2 linked regions of the Cricetulus griseus genome follow. The protein of the gene in region 2 interacts with the protein of the main gene of each other region in a pairwise test. Links are inferred from orthologs where the notes say so. Each region holds a gene or a part of one and is shown on either strand. Other genes may lie near its edges.

What was found.
Region 1: the proteins of Cdkn2d (region 2) and Nr4a1 interact in binary tests that used the Homo sapiens proteins (3 or more experiments, as listed by UniProt). The two-hybrid records come from large-scale screens. The link is inferred for Cricetulus griseus from reciprocal best matches to the Homo sapiens genes CDKN2D and NR4A1.

Annotation. Positions count from the first base shown.
Region 1 is NC_048595.1:397,682,457-397,692,988, forward strand, and holds the start of Nr4a1 (nuclear receptor subfamily 4 group A member 1), read left to right. Parts: upstream 1-4,213; 5' UTR 4,214-4,325; intron 4,326-4,463; exon of another isoform or gene 4,464-5,307; 5' UTR 5,308-5,594; intron 5,595-10,532. UniProt on the Homo sapiens protein: Orphan nuclear receptor. Binds the NGFI-B response element (NBRE) 5'-AAAGGTCA-3'. Binds 9-cis-retinoic acid outside of its ligand-binding (NR LBD) domain.
Region 2 is NC_048597.1:134,143,936-134,154,645, reverse strand, and holds Cdkn2d (cyclin-dependent kinase 4 inhibitor D), read left to right. Parts: upstream 1-5,061; 5' UTR 5,062-5,166; intron 5,167-5,227; exon of another isoform or gene 5,228-5,438; 5' UTR 5,439-5,453; coding exon 5,454-5,594; intron 5,595-7,062; coding exon 7,063-7,422; 3' UTR 7,423-7,949; downstream 7,950-10,710. Other genes in the region: Ap1m2 (AP-1 complex subunit mu-2), read left to right, coding at 264-389, 1,419-1,494, 1,993-2,015; protein KRI1 homolog, read left to right, coding at 8,462-8,555, 8,646-8,716, 10,284-10,389. UniProt on the Homo sapiens protein: Interacts strongly with CDK4 and CDK6 and inhibits them.

The DNA.
Region 1 (10,532 bases), on a different chromosome or scaffold from region 2:
AAGGATGTAGGCCTCTGGCACTCTCCTGAGGGGCCTGTCAGCAGTAACCAGAGCTGGCTCCACGGCTCAGAGCAGTAGGAACACCATTTCTTGGCAACCCAGGACAGCACAGAGATCCAGTTAATCACCTTTGCCAGCAGGTCAGTCTTCCCACAGCCTCCAGAGTGCCCCTTGCTGGTCAGAGCCATGAATCGTTTCTACCCCAGTGTCGTCTGAACTAGACACTCTTTCCCCCATGTCTCTTTTTTCTGTTTCCTTAAAAAAAAAAAAAAAGTGTATGTGTGTGGGGGTGTGGGGGTGTTTTGCGCCTGAGGTGGTGGCTAGTTTTTATGTCAACTTGACACAGGCTAGAGTCATTTGGGAAGAAGAAACCTTAATTGAGAAAATACTCCTACCAGATTGGTCTATAGGCAAGCCTGTGGCACATTTTCTTAATTAGTGATAGATGGGGGAGGGCAGTGTTTTGTGGGAGATGCCACCCCTGGTGGGGGTAGTTCTGAGTTCCATAAAAAAGCAGGATGAGTAAGCCATGAGGAGCAATCCAGTAAGCACCACTTCTCCACGGCCTCTCCTTCAACTCCCGCTTCTAGGTTCCTCCCCAAGTTGCTTTTGATCACAGTGTTTCCTCACAGCAATAGAAACTCTAACTAAGACAGTCTGGATGTGTGTACATGCAATTTATGCAGAGGCTGCTGAATTCTTTGGAATTGAATGTACACACAGTCATGAGCTGCCATGCAGGTGCGGGAATTGAACCTTGGTCCTTTGGAAGAACAGCCAGTGCTCTTAATGACTGAACTTCCTCTGCAATCATCCAGAGGTCTTGTTTTTATAACATGGTGACACCTATAGAGCAAGTATTACTTTTTTTTTCTTTTTGGCCCCAGCTCTGTAGTAAGACATGGAAGTCAGAAGTAACCGACTCAGCTTCCTCTCTAGGAGGCAACAGCAGCCACAGTTGCCTGTGAGGCCCCAGGGGCTCGTATGTGAACCCTGCCCTGTTACTTCTCAGGGTGTGACAGCCTTTTGGGGCCATGGTTTCTTAAATACCAAAGCAGTGCTCACCTTATAGTGCCAGTGAAAGATAGAAAGCAAGGAAAGCTGTCAGTACTGCACCTGGCACAATCCTGCATGGTCCAGCAGGATTTCCTCCCTGGGTAGCTCTCTCACTATTTCCCTCTCTTTCCACCATGCTCTGGTCATTTGGCTTATTCAGTGTCTTTAAGGAACTAGAATCTGTCCCGCCTCTGGCTTTCCCATGTCCTGTTTCCTCTGGTTGGAATCAGACAAAGTCCCCTCTGTTTAAAAATTGCTTCAGGCTGGACATGGTGACCTTTAATCCCAGCACTTGGAAGGCAGAAGCAGGTGGCTCTCTGTGAGACTGAGGCCAGCCAAGGCTACATAGAGATTCTGTCTCAGAAACAAACAAACAAACAACTGCTTCGCTAGAGGAACACTTTTGTATCCCTCTCTAAATAATAACTTGCAGTTAAATAACTTGACCTCCCATATTTTCTTTTTTTATTATTGCCATAGTTAGTTTTAATGTGCCAACCTGTGATATGGGAGGTCCTTCTGTATGCTGCAAATATGCGTTGATAAATAAAGCTGATTTGACCAATGGCCAGGAAAAATATAGCTAGGCGGGAAATCCAAACAGAGTTATGGAGAAAAAGATGGCAGAGTCAGGGAGATGCCATGTAGCCACTGTAGGAATAATATGCCAGAACATTACCAGTAAGCCACAGCTTTGTGGTCATACACAGATTAATAGAAATGGGTTAATTTATAAGAGAGAGCTAGCCAGTAATATGTCTGAGCCATTGGCCAAACAATTATATTTAATATTAAGTAAGCCTCAGAGTATTTCTTCATAAGTGGATTTGGGGACCCAGAGGGCAGGAGAGAAACAAGTCCAGTGGGATGGGGTGAAGCAGAAAAAAAATCCAACTACAAACCTGATCAGAGGCTAAGGCATTGCCAGATAGCTAGTGAAACATTATTTCTGGGTGTGCAAGAGGATGTTTTTGGAAGGTAACAGCATTTGAATGGTTAGACTGGGTCAAAATTGCCTTCAGTGGGCTGGTGAGATGGCTCAGCCAGTGAAGGTGTGACCACACAAGTCTGGGACCTGAGTCCAATTCCTGGAATCAATGTAAAAAGATGGACGGGTAGCACACATCTGTAACCCCAGCACCCCACAGCAAGATGTGAGGTAGAAACAGGAGCAGCAGCCAGAAGCCTTCCAACTAGCTAGACTGGAGTATGCTGTATAGTGGCAGAAGCAAGAGAGATCCTGTCTCAACATGTGGATGAAGCGAGAAGCGACGGACTCTTTAAAGTTGTCCTCTGACCTCCACTTGTACTGTGACATGCACATGCCTGAACTTTCCCTCCTTACCTCCCTCTTCCTCCCATACACACCATATACATGCACACACTATAAACAATAAATAAAAGATTTAAAAAGATAGCATTCAGCAAGCAGATACTTGATCCACGGAGAGCCTGAACAGAGCAGAAATGTGCAGGGGAACAGGAGCTCACTCTCATCGTGAGCTCAGGCATTCACGTTCCACAGGAAGCTCCTGGTCCTCCACTCACACTGGGATGTTCTCTGTTCTCTGTTCTGGCTTCCCTAGGCTTCCTGTGTGCATACAGCAGATTTGGGCATTCTTGGTTCCCCAATTTCCCGAGACATTTCTCTACATTTCTATAGTCAGAGATTCCCTGCTATCCATTGGGGATATCCTAGGACTCCCCCAGGATGCCAGGATATGAGGGGTTAAATTCCTTATGTAAAAGAGTGTGACATTCGCATGTACCACATACACATTCTCCCCTATAATTATTTAGGGTTTAAGACAGTCTTACTGTATGGCCCAGGTTGGCTTCATATTCAAGATCCTCTTTTCCCTGCCTCCCGAGAGCTGGGATTACAAAACACCACACCTGGCTCTTCTTTATACTTTAAAGCTCCGCGAACTGATAATGTCTAGTGTGATAAGTATTATGTGAATTATTGTAATACTCAATTATTTAGGGTATAGTGACAGGGGGAAAAAACCTCTGTATAACAGGTGTAGTTTTATCTTGTTTTCCCACCTCTGGGACTATGAGGCTACTGATAGCTGATTATGTGCTACGGCATCTGCTTTTCTGGAGAAGCCTGAGCGATAAAACGACACTCATTGGCTACTTACAAAATTGTTGGACACCAGGCTCCTAAACTGAGCTCTGACTACATCCTGGGTGGAAAAGAGTCTCTTTTTTGTTCTCTGTGGTGTCTTCTCACAGGGCTTTGCCCTGAGCATTCCCGGAAGCATGTTCCACCTTTCTGTACCTCGTCATCTCTCATTTCTTTCTTCTCCCTTCTTCCAAGTTGTGGTACTTTTGGCTGTTTTGCTTTAAAAAAAATACAAACTTTAAAATCTTATTTTATATGTGTGAGAGTTTTGCCTGCTTATATATGTATGTGCACCACGTACATGCCTGAGGTTCAAGAGGGCGTTGGAGCTCGTGGACTGGAATCCAGAAGGGTTGTGAGGACCCAAAACCCATGTCCTCTTCAAGAGCAGCCAGCGCTTTCGACAGCTGAGCCGTTTCTCCAGCCCTTCTGTTTTGCTTTTCTTCGAGGCAGGGTTTCTTGTAAGCTCAGGCTGGCCAGCTCTCAAATGCTGATTATCACAGACTTGTTTGTGCTACCACGCCCAGCAATTAACTTCATTTTTGCACCAGGGCTTGTTTGGGTCTAACGGAAAAGGGCCTAAGAATTGAGGGCATTCACCTTTAATCGCACTCCGTGCCTCTCGGGAGTGGCTGGAACAGATTTGGATGCCAAGTCTCCAAACCAACCCAGCTGCAAATTTCCACACACCCTCACCCACCCGCCTTATCCCCGGGCCAGGCCACCCCCACCCGGGCAATGACGTCTATTTGCAGACACTGTAGCCAAAGGAAGCGTTGGCTCGACGACGATTTGCTATTGGCTGGGAGGGTGGCGCGGCAGCCAATGGCTGGCAGCGGTGTTTACAGCGCGGCTTGGGTGATGTAATGGAATCCTGGCTGGCCCGGCGGGCTCCCAGCGGACAGCGTGGTGACGTAGCGGCTTCCCCGGCCGCGCCCGGCTCGCCTGGCCTGGTGCGGACGGATGGGGGGCATGGCCTTACCCCGGCTAGGCGCTGCCACGGGGACCGCCACGTTCCTTCCGGCTCGGTGTTCCGGTAGCGGGTCCCGGGGAGGAGGGCTCGGACCAGATCCGGTCTCGGGCGAGGTGACAAATCTGGAACCTGACACCGGAGGATGACCGAGCTCCTGCTCCTCTGGTAGTGCAATTACGGACTTCTCACGTTGTCAGTTATGCAGCTCTGCAACCTTTGCTTGACGGGAGGGAGTTTGATTTTGAAACTCCTAAGGTTGCAGAGGATTCTGGTGTGTTTTTAATCAAGAGCCCTGGCTTTGATTTGTGGGAAATCTTGCGTTAACTTCCTCCATTTCCGGCCTGGTGACCTGGGCCACTTTCTCATGTTGGCCCAGATGATACTCAGTGGCAACAACAACAACAACAAAAGGACAACAAATGTGGAAACACTTGATGAAGCGCCTGAAAGGAAGATGCTCTTTGGTCCCATCCTATTCCAGTGCTACTGCTTCTTTTTTTACGGCTTTTTAAAAAAATATTTTACTTTATTTTTTGTTTTGTTTTTCGACACAGGGTTTCACTGTGTAGCCCTGGCTGTCCTGAAACTCACTCTGTAGATAAGGCTGGCCTTTTACTCACAGAGATCTGCCTGCCAGTGGTCTTCTTGAACCCAGGGATAGCCCCTGGGAAACCCTCTCTATGTGTCCCCATTTTTTTTTTTTTTTTTTTGTCCTTGAGTGTATGCTTAAACCTGGGAAGAGGTGGGGGCACCCCAGCCAAGTAGTTCTTGATCCTAAGGCTGAGGAAGGGCCCTGTAAAGGGAAATCCCCTTTCCAGTCCCTGGCGAATTCTGGGTGAGACCTAGGCAGGGGAGTCCCTTTTGGGCCCAGCAGATTAGTTAACCCCTCTACATCCTCTCCATCAGGCAGGGAGGAAGTGAGGTGCTGACTCCCCAGCTCTGGGCAGCTGAATCCAGGCCATCAGATGTGGTAGATGGCCTTGTTCCTTGTGGCTCACCATGGCTTATTGTTTTTCCACCCTTGGGACTGTCATCCTATCCCTGTCTCATACCTTGAAATTTGTGACAGCCTAACCTCCATGGGGTGGTTCTTTCTCCATTTCTATTCTGTCTTTTTCATACTGTACCCCACATTCTCTTCCTCCAGGGTGGCCCTGGGATTGAGCCCCTACTCACTCCTTAGCGCCATGTCATCTGGAGCTCCTACCTATACTGTACAGTAGAATCAGCTCTTGGTTGCAGGGCTTTGCCTTCCTGTCTTGGGAACTCTCTAGAATGTAGGTCAGTACTGGTGAAGACTGTGCTCGTCCTTACCTGCTCCAGGAGGTCAAACCTTACAAACCAGTGAGTGGTCCACCTGCTTCTTGGCTCTCCAGTCTACAGGAGCAGCTGGGAAATGGCAGAAAGGCGATGGCAAGAATGAGGGACACCACGGTGAGTAGAGAGTACTCTCTGAGAATTAGAAAACCAGGCTGTGGTGGGCTGCGTGGCCACTGACTAGCTGAGGAAGGCAGTTAAAGGAACCACAGTGGGGCTGTTTGTGGGGTATCTATTATAACAGTAAGAGGTCACATTGCCCTTTCCCTCAAATAAACATCAACTGGATTGAGTTAGGCCAGGCACTTTGCAGGAACAGCTCCAAGGCAAGAATCATAGACCTGGCTTTTCCTCAGGTCTCCCTGAATGGAAATGGTAGATTTGTCACTGCCTGCTACCTTCATGTCTGCTATCAAAGGCACTGTCTTCATGATGGTGCTATGGAGCAGGTATGTTACCATGCTTGTGTCTCCAAGGAGGAAACAGGAGCTCAGAGCAGGCTAGTCACTCCTTTGAAGTCCCACATCTGGAGAAAGCTGGAAGCTGGTGGGCCAGAGAGTCCTGCTCCTGAGGAAGAGCAAGGAGAGCTAAGTCTGAGTGCCTTTTGTGTCCAGGGGGTACCCTCCGTGTCCAGGGAGTACCCTCCGTGTCCAGGGGGTACCCCTCCATGTCCAGGGGGTACTATTTGTATCCAGAGGGTGCCCTCTTTGTCCAAGGTTCCTCCATAGCTGTTCATCTCTTAGCGACCTGTGTGTCTATCACATGCCAATTGGATCTTATCCACCTCTGCCATCTCAGCCAGTCTCTTCAAGCTGTCCAAGAGTGTTAGCATTTCACATTTTTCTATCTGCTTTATTTCATTATTATAATAGAGTAGATAATTGAGGCAGGTTGGGGTAGGAGTATTTATAGAGAGACTGCTGTGGGCTGGAAGCCTCCATGGAAAAACTGCTAACAGCATTTTTTTTTCCATTCCTGTCTGAATAAATGTATTTCTCCTACACTGGCAAATATTTTAGAATGTATTTTCAAAAAGACTTGTGGAAAAATAAAAAGAGGGAGCAGAGGATCGCCTTCTTTCCAAAGCTGCTGGAAAAGAGCTGCTAGGGCGGGGGGAAGTCAGCCTGAGGCCCCCTCATTCCTGGCCACTGTTGTGCCTTGGTTCCTTTGTCTACAAATGGATATACTGTTGAGTATGGGAAAGAACAGAACTGATTCTGGGATTTTGAGGTAAACCACAGATTCTAGGGTTGGCTAGAAGCAGGAGAAAAAGGGGCTGTGGGGTTGCCAGAGAGTAGGGCCTGTCAAGAAGGATTTCAGGCAGGGGGAGAGAAGATTGTGACTATGGGAGTGAGCTCTGGAGTTTGGGAGCCTCCTGAGGAAACCTCTGAATGCAGAAGGGATTCTTGACCACGTGGTTCCTGGTTGGCAGCTTGTAGAATGGGCACAAAGCAGGATCCTTCAGGATGGATTCTCACTCCCAAATGGGTCCCCCTAGTCACCACCCATTTAAGCAGGGACAGAGACACAAAGCCACCCCTTGGCTACCCTTGGGTTGGCCTTTTTGGCCTGAGGCTTTGCTGTTAACAGTTTCCTCCAAGATTGAAACATTTCCTCTGGTAGAGTCTGGGAAACGACTGGAAATAGCTTCAGGAAGTCCCTGAAACTGACCAGACTCACTTGGCCCCTCCCTGCCAGAGTAAACAATAAGAGCTGAGACTCTTATGCTGAGCTCCCAGGAAGAGTGTCAAAGGAGCTGAGCTGCAAGATAACTCAGACCAGCCAGTTGTCTGGAAGAAACAGAAATCGTAAGTCAAATCTGCCTGGAAAAGGTTTAGACCAACTGAGGCACCTGGAGAGGACACTCTACAACCCCTTGAGCTAACTGTGCAGTGTGCTCCAGCTTCCCAGCTTTGTGAGCTGTCATCCATGTAGGGTAGACTTTGGTGACACAGCTATCTTTGAGTTTTTTCTGCTCCTGTACGTAACCCCACATCCATAATCCTGTAAGTAACCACAATAAAACTCATTCATTTGCCAAGTTGGGCTTCGGTGGTATCTGTTCTTTGGTCTGCTTGGGATACCTGCTTGGTAAGTAGCCTTGTGTATTGTGTCTCCCTAGGAAAAGTTTTGTCACACAATGTAATTGACACCTGAACATGGACATGTCGGAAACGAATATGATTTGGAGAGGAGTGACTGTGTGGTTCTGGCTATGGGTAGTCAGGCACACAGCTGAGGCTGAGAAGCCTGATGGGGGAGCGTTCGCCAGGAAAATTCCCATAGAGTCATCCTTTCCTCTGTGTGTTAGTGTGCCTCTGTGCTATGACAGCGGTTGCATAGTTCTTGCTCTGGATAGTGAGACATGCAGCTAAGGCTGAGCCATCAGGATTAGGAGTGTCTGTGGGAGGAATTGCAGCATTCGCCTGTGTGGTGTGGGTGGCATGCCTGCTTGATGAGCCGGGGTCCACCACGTGAATATGGAGGTGCCCTGAGAAAGTTAAAGGTTAGGGGGAAATATTGTAGTCTTTGAGATTAGCATCCAAGAGTCGAGACTGTCGGTAAGCAGTGGCAGAGGTTGTATATGTAGTTAGAAATGTGTCTGAAGGGGAGACAGTGGCCAAGCAGGAGCTGGTTTGTGTAATAATCTTATTGCAAATGCAATAAGAAAGGGAGGTGTGGCTACCATCCTTCCTGTTAGCCTCAGATTTGGCAACTAAATTAGATAAACAAGAGGATGAGATAAAAGTGATAAAAGCAATGAAAGATTCCCTTCAAGCCCAACCTTTTATAGAAAACGAGGGGAAATCTGTGTGTAATCCAGCATGCAGGGCGTTAACCATGGTCCAATGCAAGAAACTAGTGTGAGCAAGAAATACTCGATCCTTGAGCTTCTGGAATTAGAGAAGACTTCTGAACAAGCAGTGGAAGAGCCTGTCTCAAGCTGGCTTGAGAAGTTATGGGACATGGGAGTGGGTGGGATCAGTTGAGGCAGGAAGATTGAGTGATATAACTTCCCATCCCTCCTTAAGGCCAAGGCTGTATGACCTGCCACAGTGTGCAGGAAATGAGTCCCTGATGGACTGACTTATCAGAATCATTAGGAGCACTTGGTTATCTTGCTCTGAAGTCTCCACAAATATCAGGGGCTGGAGGACCATAGAGGAAGGGCAGACACTATTGAGGTCACTAGGAATAAGAGAAGTCATGTTGGAACCCAGGTTCCTGGGCTAGATAGAACTGTGTTCACAGAGGAGTTAAAAGGCTGACCCAGCAGGGACCTTGAGGCTGGTTTGGACCTCTAGTGGCTTTGCTGAGCCCTTTGGTGGGGCAAGATCTTCATAAAGTAGAACAGGCTTTGACAGACCCCAGTGACTTAGACTAGTGTGTAAGAGAATTTGTAAAGTGAGACAGCAATATAGAGGAGGCAGTAGAAGAGCAAGGTGGGGGGAAAGGGCTGGCTGCATTACTCAGAAAATGTGGTAAGATTTGTGTCAAGCTGGAGTTCTTAAGGAAAACGTGTGCTGAGGGACTTCTGGATGGCTGTAAAGCCTGAGGAGCACACTATGATGGAACAATATAGGTGACAATGATCAAGACTGTCCCAAGGCTGAGTAACAACCTCCCCCCCACACACACACTAAGGAGAGTACAGTTTCCCCCAGCAAAAGGTTATACTAGGGGTAGAGATGGTTTGCCCAGTCAGGAAGTTCCCCAACAGCCAGGTGTGGTGTATGGAAAGTCAACAGCTACAGCAGCATCCACAGTGCCAACCCAGGCAACTCTGTCCTATGGAGCTAGCAAGAGCAGCTGGCAGAGCATGGCCTTCACTTGGCCCTGAGTAGGTATGAGAAAGTTAAGCCAGGCCCAGTGAGTTTAGGGAGGCTCATGGAAGAGCTCCAGCATATGGAAATATAATGGCTCAGAGAGAATGATTAAGGATTACAGGGAGTTAATTAAGTCAGTGCCTCCTATCCATGCTTCGTACCCAACCTTGATCTGTGGAAGAAGCAACTGATAGAAATGGATGGAATCTTCCCATGCTGTGTTAGACCTTGCTTCTGTTTGGCTTTTTTAGTATCTTAGTTGTGAACCTCTGGGCTCACTTGACAGTGAGAACAGGTGACAACAGACTTTCAGAGTGCATTGCCAAGGCTATCTTTGTAACCCCGCACATACTTTGTTATGAGATGGAGGTGTGGGGTGTTGCTTTGTCCTGCCCATCCTCTGGCAAACATTTTGTTATACAGATGATGAAATGCTAACCTATGAGTGTTTTGCATATTTGGAAAACCATTGGAGAGACAGTCTGGTATGATGATGGTACTTCTACCTACCTTACAACCCTGCTGGGGTTGGGTTAATTGAAAGGAAAAAGAATCCAAAAGGACATTCCCAGAGGCCATGGGTTATTGAATGAAAACCCCAGTGCCAGGGGTGGGCTACCTTCCTATGGGCTGTTGGCCAGGGAAGCCCCTGAGGCTCCATGAACCATAAAGGCTACTGTTGCTGCTTTTGGTTTTATGCCAGAACTAGACAGTAGGACCCTATTGATGAAGACACAGAATGTACATACTTTGGCTGTAGGACATGGAGAAATAAAGCTAGGAGTGAACTGGGAACTCCAGCATGCTGGCTGTCTTTCATAGTGCCAGAGGTGTCCATGCATGCTGCTGGTGAGGAACTGTCACCAACATTGCTGCTTGGCTATCAATTCTGCATGACAAAATACTGACGTGGCGGGCAGGACATGCCTGCTTGTGTCATAGTGGCTCAGCTATCATGAGTAAGACCAACAGCCTTCCAATTGGATTTAAGGCCCTCTCCCAGAGAAAGAGAGTTCACATCTGGTACAAAATTAGGACAGAAACCTGTGGTTGGGGAGGTCTGAGGTCCCAAGGGGAAGCAACTTGTATGGTTTTACTAGACAGCTGGGATGTGCCTGTGTGTTATGCCTATAGATCACTTGTTCACAGCCGCAACTCATAACTATCAGAGAAGCTCCTGACAACAAGTGACCATTACTGTGGCATGATGGCCTATTTCTTAGCCATA
Region 2 (10,710 bases):
CCTTGAACTTGTAATCGTTGATACTCCTGCTTTGGTTTCCAAAGTAGCTGGAACTATGGCCATCTGCAATGGAACCCAGCCACTGGGGATTTGATCTGTGTTCCTCCAGACTAAGAGACAAGAGTTAGGCTTTTCCTATGGGTCTTAGTGAGCACTCTTGACTTTAAAGTCTGAATGGTCAGGTCTCTATGGAGCCTGCTGTGAGGGTGGTCTGAGAGACAGAGGGGGACTACCCAGAGAGTGACGCCTCTGTGTGTCCACAGGGGGGCAAGGAGTACTTGATGCGTGCCCACTTTGGGCTCCCTAGCGTGGAAACTGAGGAGGTGGAGGGCCGGCCACCCATCGGGGTCAAGTTTGAGATTCCATACTTTACCGTTTCTGGCATCCAGGTGAGAAACAAGGGTAGGGAGGTTCCCTACTTTCCTCCCTCTTGGCCTCAATCACCTCTCATCTTACATCTTATTTTTTCATTTGAGCTTTTATTTGTTTTATGTGTATTAGTATTTTGACTGCATATTTATCTGTATACCATGTGTGTGAAGATGGTGTCACAGCCCCTAGACCTGGAGTTACAGAGTATTGCTATCTACCATATAAGTGCTGGGAATCTAATGCAGGTCCTCTGGAAGAGCAGCCAGAGATCTGAGCCATCTCCAGCCCACTTTTTTGAGACAGGGCCTCACTGTAGCCAGGCTGACCTGGATCTCACTATGTAGACCAGGCTGTCATTAAACCAACATGCCTCTGCTTCCCAAGTGCTGAGATTGGAGGCATGCACCGCCACACAGGCATTTTTATTTTGTTTGTAACCCAAGCTAGCTAAGGAATCACTGAGTGCAGACAGGTCTTGAACTCACTACACAACCCAGGCTGGCCTTAAACTTATGACATCCTTCTGTCTAAATTCACAAGATCTAGGAAAGTCACACGTCCACATGCCAAGTTCTCCATTTCTTTGTCTTCTGCCTGGGAATGTGGCCTCTTCTCTTCTCAGGCTGAGGCTCTTCCCTCTCCACCACTCACATTGGCACCTGCTGTCGGGGTATTCTCCATTCTCTTGCCCTGTCCCCACTCTGTCCTGTATCTTCCCTCTGTACTTCCTTTTTCCTACTAGCCTGGATCACTTCCTCTTTGCACATGTCATGCCCAGAGACTCCCAGCTTGTGTTATTTTGTATCCTTAAGTGTGTCCTGCATGTTTTCTCTTCACACGGTTTGTCACTTTCCTTCTGCCTCTAGTCACCTCCCCCTCCTAATATCCCCCTTCCCCCATAATGGGATTGAACCCAGGGACTGGACATGCTAGGTAGGGACTCTCCCATGGGTCATACCCCAGTTCCTCACAGGTGACTCCAGAAGGAAGCACTACTGCTGAGCTGCCTCCCTAATCCTTGGCCACTCCTTTTTATTGCCTTCCAGGTCCGTTACATGAAGATCATTGAGAAAAGTGGATACCAGGCCCTGCCCTGGGTCCGCTACATCACCCAGAGTGGGGGTAAGAGCCGGGCTCTCTGAAACAGTGAGCTTAAGGAGATGGGGGACACGGGGACTGATGACTTTGATGCTATGTTTCAACAGTACTAAAGCATGCTTAGCCCCAAAGCAGACCCTTACCATGCTTCCTTGGGCTTCAGCTTATACATCTTTAGAATGGGGTGGTTGGCCTGCTCCAAGGTGATGATAAGGTCTGAACAGGATACTGATCTCCATATGCTGCCTGGATATGGGCGTGCTGACCAGAGGGAGGTGTCTGTGTGGAAGCCATCTTGATCTAAGCACGGCAATAGGATAGAAACCAGGGCTTTACACCTGATAGGTAGGAACTATCATTCAGCCACCCCATGACCCAAGCCTGTAAGCCCTAAGCATAGTAAAATATTTCCAAGGGTGATTTTATGTGTTAGGACCCAGGATAGATTTTGTGAGTGTTGGAGGACTCTCTCTTTCCCCTTTCTCAATTCTCAGATAATCCCTGCTCATTTTTTTTCTGCAGATTATCAACTTCGTACCAGCTAGAAGGGAGAAGAAGTGGGGGTTAGATGTGTGTGTGTGTGTGTGTGTGTGTGTGTGTGTGTGTGTGTGTGTGTGTATTCATGCTGCAACAACCCCCTGTACCTCTCACCCGTCTAGATTGGTTTCTCTGTGTCCCCCACCCTTGAGCTCTCCCATCCTGGTTTTATATGAAGAAATAAGAGGGTCTGAGCTGCCCTCCCCATCCATGAGTGCCTTCTTGAAATGATCTGCCTTGGGCTAGCTCTAGGGCTCTTTTATACCTGCTGAGCCAAGGCCCTGCTGGCCCTCTATCTGAGTTTTAGGGTGTCATTAAAATAAATCTAACAGCTGTGAATGTGCTTCTTGACTATGGACTGGGAATGACCATACCTGCTTAGATGGGCGTGTCCATTTTTTCCACCCCAGGTCCTCTGCACCCTCCCCTTTATTCCCTGTCACTCTGATCCCCTCAGTAGATACTGGGAGGTTGCTGTAAAACCTGTCAGGTGGTGGCACCTTTAGTCCCAGCACTCAGAAGGCAGAGGCAGGCAGATCTCTGTGAGTTCCAGCCCAGCCTGGTCTACAAGAGCTACACAGAGAAACCCTGTTTGGGGTTGGGGGGAATCTGTCAGTACATTATTGCCCTGCTTAAATGGTGCCCTTCCCATCTAGTTAAAAGTAAAAAGTTACTGCAGTCCCAGGTTTGGTCTGCACATCACTCCACCTCCCCACCTTCCTGCTCTTCCTCTTAACTTTTCCACATCATTCCAGATGCTTTTGACCCTGAGGGCCTTTACACAAATGCAGTGACCCTTCAGTCAGCCTGGTTACTATTGTATAATACTTTTGATTTGTTTTTTGTTTTTTTTTTGTTTTTTTTGTTTGTTTGTTTTGTTTTGTTTTTTGTTTTTGAGACAGGGTTTCTCTGTGTAATAGTCCCGGCTGTTGTAGAACTTGAATTGTAGACCAGCCTGGCCTCAAACTCACAGAGATCCGCTTGCCTCTGCCTCCTGAGTGCTGGGATTAAAGGTCTGCAACACCAATGCCCAGCTGCAATGGACTGCTTAACCTGAGCTAGAACTTTTCTAGGTTCTTTTCTCACCACCTATGCTTTTTTTTTCTTCTTTTAAATTATCTTCTTTTTTTTTCCAAGAAAGGGTTTCTCTGTAGCTTTGGAGCCTGTCCTGCTGTCCTGGAACTTGCTCTGTAGATCAGGCTGGCCTTGAACTAACAGATCCTCCTGTCTCTGCCTCCCAAATGCTGTGATTAAAGGAGAACAACACCACGCCCAGCTACAGTTTCTAACTTTAGTCTATTTCAGTGTGTGGTGCTTAATGTCCAAAATTAAGCCAGGCATGGTGGTATATACCTGTAATCCAGCAATCAAGAGGTAAAGGCAGGATTAGGAGTTTGAGGTTAATCTAGATTTAGTAACTTTGAGGCCAGCTTACGCTGAGAACTTGTCTCAATAAAAATTGGGTTTTTTTTTGTTTGTTTGTTTATTTTTTGAGACAGGGTTTCTCTGTGTAGCTTTGGAGCCTATCCTGGCATTCCTCTGGAGACCAGGATGGCCTTGAACTCACAGAGATCCGCCTGCCTCTGCCTCCCTAGTGCTGGGATTAAAGGCGTGCGTCACCAACGCCCGGCTCTCAATAAAAATTGTTAAGGGGCTGTGACTATAGATCAGTTAGTCATTGCTGAGCACCCATGAAGCCCTGGGTTCCACCCCCAGCACTGCATGGACTGAGTCTGTAATAGCACTTGGGAGTGGCATTCAGGAGGCTTGTGTATAATCCTTAGCTACATAAGGAATTGGAGGCCAGCCTGGGCTACGTGATACCCTTTTTAAAAAATTAAAAGAAAATTGCAGAGCTGGAGAGATGGCTCAGCGGTTAAGAGAATTGGCTGCTCTTCCAAAAGATGTGGTTTTAATTCCCAGCACCCACGTAGCAGCTCACAACTGTCTGTAACTCCAGTTTGAGGAGATCCAACATCTTCACACAGCTATACATGAAGGCAAAACACCAATGCACATAAGAAAGAAAGAAAGAAAGAAAGAAAGAAAGAAAGAAAGAAAGAAAAGAATTGCCAGGTGTACTGGTACACACCGTCAATCCCCTGCATTTAGGAAAGTCAGGCAGATCTGTTTGTGTTCAAGGCCAGCCTGGTCTACATAGTGAGTTCTAAGACAGCCAGAGTTACATAGTAAGATCCTATCTCAAAACACTTAAAAAAAGAAAATCATGTGAATATGTGGGTGTTTGTCTATTATGTAATATGTGCAGATGTCAAGAGCGTTGGATCCCTTGGAGCTGGAGTTATGTATAACTGAGAGCTGTGACCTGGATGTTGGAAACTGAATTCTTGATTCTCTACAAGGACGTCAAATGCTCTTGGCCGCTGAGCCATCTTGCAGCTCCAAGACCCTTTCTTTAAAAACAAAAAATAAAAAAACTAGAGCCCCCTCCTTTAATCCCAGCATGGATGGTAGAGGCAGGTGGCTATCTGAGTTTGAAGCCAGACAGATCTACACAGTTCCAGGCCAGCCAAGGCTACACAGTGAGACCCTGTCTCAGAAATTTAAAGCAAACAAAAATCGTTAGACAGCGCGCACTTGACCGCCCAGCGTCCATCCCTTTAACCCAGCAGTCGAATGAATGAACTAAGTTCCCAGTTGCATAGTAAGAGAGCTAAATGAATAGAACGAACGTTCGAGTTCTGGGAGCTTCCAACCCTCCCTCCATTCCTCCTGGAGGCGCTAAAGACCCAAGATCAGCCTGCGCCAGCCAACCCCTCTCCCGGGATCAGTTAAGTCTTCCCTCTCTTTCCCGCCCGGCCGCCCGCCAGTCGGGTTTGAAAAACCAAACCCCCTGCGGTGGCGGGCAGCCACACCGGTTGCCGCCCGCTGGCCAATCACGAGATGCACCACCTCTCTGGGCGAGACAAACCTTCCCAGTAACGCACGATGATTGGCTGAGGTCGCCGGTAGGCGGGACGCATGGAGGTCGGGTGCTGGGCACACCGGCTCCCGCTACTCTGTAGCGAGTTTGTAAGAAAACAAGGGCGCTGTGGGGCGGGGCCTGTGGCGCGCTAGCTCCGCCCACTGGAGGCTGTCTAGGGAGGCGGCGAGCGCCGGCTCAGAGCAGACCCCGCCTGCGCCAGCGGAGGAGGGAGGGTGAGTCTGGGGAGACCCGGCCCAAGGGGCGGGTGCCCAAGGGTTGGGCGGGGTTCCCTGCGGCCTCTCACGGTGACAGGGGGAGGAGCCGGGTGCGAGAGCCGGGGTCGTGCGGGACCGAGGGCCAAGGGTCTGCGGCAGGGGAGTAGCCGTAGAGTAGGCCCCAGTGTCGCCACAGCCCCAGGGAAAGGAAGCCCTCGTGTTCCGATCCAGCCCTTGCTGGTTCCACAGCCTTGACCTGGACTGGGCTTGGGGCTGGGTGGGTTTCACAGACCACCCGCGTCACGATGCTCCTGGAAGAAGTCCGCGTCGGCGACCGGCTGAGTGGCGCAGCGGCCCGTGGCGACGTGCAAGAGGTGCGCCGCCTTCTGCACCGGGAGCTGGTGCATCCTGACGCTCTGAACCGCTTTGGCAAGACGGCCTTGCAGGTGAGGCCTGTCTGACACCCGGCGCCCACACCCCATCCTTCCTTGTCTCCTGACCCGGCTTGGTGATCCCCTTGAGGACCATTCCTTGTTTGCACCAATGTTGGGTGGGGTAATGCGGGGGGGGGGCACGGGGAGAGGATGACTTTTCAGCTCTAAAGAATCCCTTGTCTTCAAGCCTAAAAGATTCAGTTTTGCTGCAGACTTTTATTCCGTGGGTGGGTTGTGGTTCAGCTTCTTTTCATTCCAGTCTTTGCGGACAGCTCAAATTTTGGGAGGGCCTCTAAGAAGGCATTCGATCTCAGGAAGGTAGGATGCTCCTCCAAGGGATAGAGCTATTTTTTGTAGGAGTCCTTTTTAAGGGTCTCTGGTTATTTGGGGGTGGGGGAAGTCTTCATTTCTGAAAGTGATGTGGATTTTTTTTTTTAATCTTCTGAGTGCCCCAGTTACAAAAAAAAAAAAAAAAAAAAAAAAAACCTATTGCTTGACGGCCCCATAATTTGGGGTGGACTTTGTACAGGGTCCCACTTTTTCATGGGTGCACATATATTCTGAACATCATGCCTATGTCTAAACTTTTCCCTAGCAGGGTGTTGGTGGCACACTCCTTTAATCCCAACACTAGGGAGGCAGAGGCAGAGGTAGAGGCAGGAGGATCTCTGTGAGTTTGACACCAGCCTGGTCTACAAGAGCTAGTTCCAGGACAACCTCCAAAGCCACAGAGAAACCCTGTCTCGAAAAAAATAAATAAATAAAAAAACAAAAAAACACACAAAAAAATTTTTTCCCTAGAGAAAGGGGATCCAAATTCTCTAGAGCATTTTTTTTTCTCAAAAATTCTAAGTAGTTCTCAGAAAACAAGGTTGCATTGTCTGGAGGGGTTTAACAGCTCTAGTGATCTCCCATATGGGGGTGCCCTGTCCCTGAGGGAGGCTCTTGGATCCTTGAGAGTTTTCACCCTCCCTTCCTGTCCTTCCTTTCCCCATTCCCTTCATTCTCTTTCTTCTTCATTACTTTTTTATTTATGAGACAAGGTCTCACTCTGTATCAGGCTGGCCTTAAATTTGAGGCTATCTTTCTGGCTCGTCCTCCCAAGTGCAGGGATTACAGGAGTGGTCACTATGCCTGGCCCCTTAAAGTTTTCATGAGAGTCACTTTTGGAGTTAGAGTCTTTTGTATTGGTAAATGATCTCTCTTTCTCTCTCTCTCTCTCTCTCTCTCTCTCTCTCTCTCTCTCTCTCTCTCTCTCTGTGTGTGTGTGTGTGTGTGTGTGTGTGTGTGTATGGTCCTTATTTCCAAAGAACCTGTTTTCTGGGGTCCCAAGCAGCTCCCTGGGGGCCTGTCTCTCTTGGGGTGTCCCTGTTCATTAAAGGGCCCCTTCACTGGCACTCTGGATTTCTGGTAGACCTCTCTTTCTGCTTGACCACTTTCCAGTGGGAACCTCCTGACTTTCTGTTCCCCACCCCCATAGGTCATGATGTTTGGAAGTCCAGCAGTTGCTCTGGAACTCCTAAAGCAAGGTGCTAGCCCCAATGTCCAAGATGCCTCTGGTACCAGTCCAGTGCATGATGCAGCTCGCACTGGGTTCCTGGACACCTTGAAGGTCCTGGTGGAGCATGGCGCTGATGTCAATGCCCTGGACGGCACCGGGTCACTCCCCATCCATCTGGCAATAAAAGAGGGCCATAGCTCTGTGGTCAGCTTCCTGGCTCCCGAATCTGACCTCCATCACAGGGACACTTCGGGTCTCACCCCCCTGGAGTTGGCCCAGCAGAGAGGAGATCAGAACCTTATGGACATCCTGCAGAGACACATGGTGATCCCAATGTGACCCAGGGCCGCTGTCTCCAGCCAAGGAGCCTCACTGGGTTACAAGTCAACAGAGAAGAAAAGAAACTTTCGCTCTTTATTCCCATCCATTGAAGAAGGGAGTGGGAGGAGCATTTTGTGGTTTATTGGTGTTGGTTTCTTGAGTGAGTGTGTTTGGGGGACTTTCTCATGTGTTTTTCTCACCCCGTTTGGTGTGTTGGACAGAGCAGGGGCTCCTACAGGCAACAGCCGCCTAAACGGTTCAGTTTTCCCTGCACCTGGCCGCAGAGACCTCAGGGCAGAGGTTTAAAGCCCTAGCCTCAGAGTGAGGTCATCGTCTCCTGAGCTCCTGGAAGCTGGTGACCTTGGAAGGCTGTGCTCAGAGAGCCCTAAGTGTGAGCCACCTACTTTGGGCATGGGAGGGAGAGGGGAAAACGTTTCGAATCAGTTAAAAAGATAGTGTGGGTTAATTTTTTTCTTGGAAGCTTGTTTTCCAGTCTGTTGTACAGAGTTTGAAATATATATATATTTATTGCTTTATGGAAAGAAATTGTTTTGTGTGATCATTTAATGTTTTGGCTCATTAAGCTAAGACTTAGGCATGACGACGGTGAGGGTGACTTCTGATTTGGTTCCAGGACGTGGGTGGGATGAAACTGGGGGATGGCGTGGTTGTGGGAGCTGTGGGGTGAAGGGGCGACATGGTCATTCCCAGGGCGTCCGGGTAACTGAGCTGGGTGGGGCAGCGGTCGGGTGCTGTCAGAACGGAAGGGAGGCAGGAAACCGCGAGTGGAGAAAGGGGCCCCCAGATGTCAGCTGGGTGCCGGGAGGCGGCTGGGTGGAGAAGGGTGGGCGGTGGCTTGTGGCCTTTCCCCGCAGAGGCTTGGCCCGTGGCTGCGGCCTGCCGAGCAAAAAAAGGCCAACCGGGTCCCGGAAGGGTCGGGGGTGGGGCCAGGCGAGTCGTAGGGGACCTGCTCCTTTAAGAGACGCTCTCGCTGGGCGTGCCTAGAGGCGGTCACGCGGGAGGGGCGCGCGCGTGCGCTCTAGGCCTCCCGGGCGCCATGCCGGAACCGCACGGGTCTGCCTCCCTGCGGGTGAACGCCGCGTTTGCCGCTCGCTACAGTCGTTACCGCGAGCGTGAGGAGCTGCAGCGGCGTGAGTGAGGGGAGCCTGCGCAGGCCGGGCGGGGGGGCTGGGGGCGCCTCTGGTGAGGGTGGCTGTGAGGAGCTCGTGTGTACCCCACAGTGAAGGATCGCTATGGGGATCCGGACGGCAGCGACTCCAGCTCCGAGTCCGACTCCAGCGACGAGCATGTGGTAAGTAAGCTTCCGCGACCAGGCTCCCCATCTTACCCAGGCGTAGTTGGGGTGCTCCCTAACCCGGCAAGTTTGTCCCGGAGTCTTCAAGTCCTGCCCCCATCCTTTGAATGACAGGCATCCCCCCCAATCCAGGGATCGCAAAATGCACCCTTCTTTCCGGCAGAGACCTCAAGCCTCCCATCCACTGAGCCCCTCACCTGAGTGCCCTGGGATGCCTTACCCTAAGGGGATAGGTCTAGATTTATCCCTTAACACCTTGAGTGACAGCTCCATCCCAGTGGTCGCTAAATCTTCCCACTTTCCTAACTTGGCCTCAAGCCTCCACAGCACCCTTACTCAGATACACAGCAGAGTCAGATCCTAACCCCCTCGGGCCCCATAGGCACATCCCAGGACCTGCACCCTTGAGTAACGAGCAGCATTCTCCTGTAGCTAGGAACTGGCGCATCCTCCCTCCTTCCCACAAGGGTAGAGCACCTTACCTTAATCACGTAGGCCCCTATAGGAACATTAGGGCCCACACCCCAGTCCCTTGAGTTACTAGCAATACACTCCCCATGTCTAGGAGACGCTAAATCCTCACTACTTGACTCCAGACCGCCCACCAATTTGCAGAAGGAATCTTTCCCTAACCCAGTAGAGCCCTAAGGTAGTTCTGAAAGGTTCAGGCATTATGCTGGCCTGCCCCTGTTACCTGGTGGAATCCACTCAGGCAATACCCTGGTCAGCCCAAGGTTCCATGGGAAAGAAGTCTGCACGCAGGTGCAGAGGACCCCTTTAAAAGATAGGCCCCTGCACCTTTCTCTCTCTCTCTCTCTCTCTCTCTCTCTGCCCCTTTACGCTCGCGCTCTCTCTCTCTCCCCCCCTGTTCCTGCTCTCTGTCCCCTCTCTCTGTTTCCCCGCTCTGTCTCTCTATGGCGACCGGCCATGGCAGTCAGCCATTACCCTGTTACTCTTCTTATATGTCTGTCTCAGCAATATTTCTCTTTTCTTCTTTTTAAACAAAAGAATAACAAGTTCCAAGACACCTCCCCCATCCCTTAGGAGACAGACAATGCCCTGCCCTTCCCTGGGGGTCGTCATAACCCCTCTGCTTTATGAACACCTTGTCCTCCATCAGCACAGATTGAACCCACTACCCTGATTAGTGGTCCAACCATTCTGTCCCTAGGAACCACCCTTCCCATTCCTAAAATCCAGAATCTGTCATTGTAGTGCCTCTTAGACCACGTGGGGCACTACTGTCTTCCCACAGCAGCTCTAATGTTGGCTTCATCATGTGTAGCCCGGGCCTTCTGGTGGTCCACCCAAGAGCACTCTAGGGGCACCTGCTCAGTTGCCTACCTCCTTTCCCTGCTCCTCTTCCTTTACCCTATCAAGTTCCTGCCCTCTGGCCACACCTGCCCAGGCCCAGAGCTTCTCTTCATCTGCACGCTTTGTCCCCCCCACACACACACTTAATCCTCAGGGTTGCTGGTCTCTGTTGTATCCTGTCCTCCTCACCAGCCCCTACTCGTACTGTGCCCACCATCTGAAGTCAGCCCCACTCCTTTTCCTGCTCTAGGAATTTGATCCCCAGCAGGAGAGAGACTTTTACAGGACTCTGTCCTTGCTGAAGAAGAAGGACCCCCGAATTTACCAGAAAGATGCTACCTTCTATCAGAGAACAGGTAGGGAGGGGGCTGCTTCTCTACCTTATTATTAATGGAATTGAATTGTTGAATGAATTGTTTCCCATCCTAAGTGAGGTGACAGACACCAGAGTGGTAGGCTATAGCCCATAATCCCATCACTCAGGAGGCAGAGACAGGTGGGTCTCTGTGAGTTTGAGGCCAACCTGGTCTACAGAGGGAGTCCAGGACAGCCAAGGCCACACAAGAGGAACCTTGATTCAAAAAGAAAAAAAGAATGGATGGCAATTGAGAAATGACACATGCAAGGTGACCTCTGGCATCCACAAGAACTGGACATTGTGTTGCCTGCCTTTAATC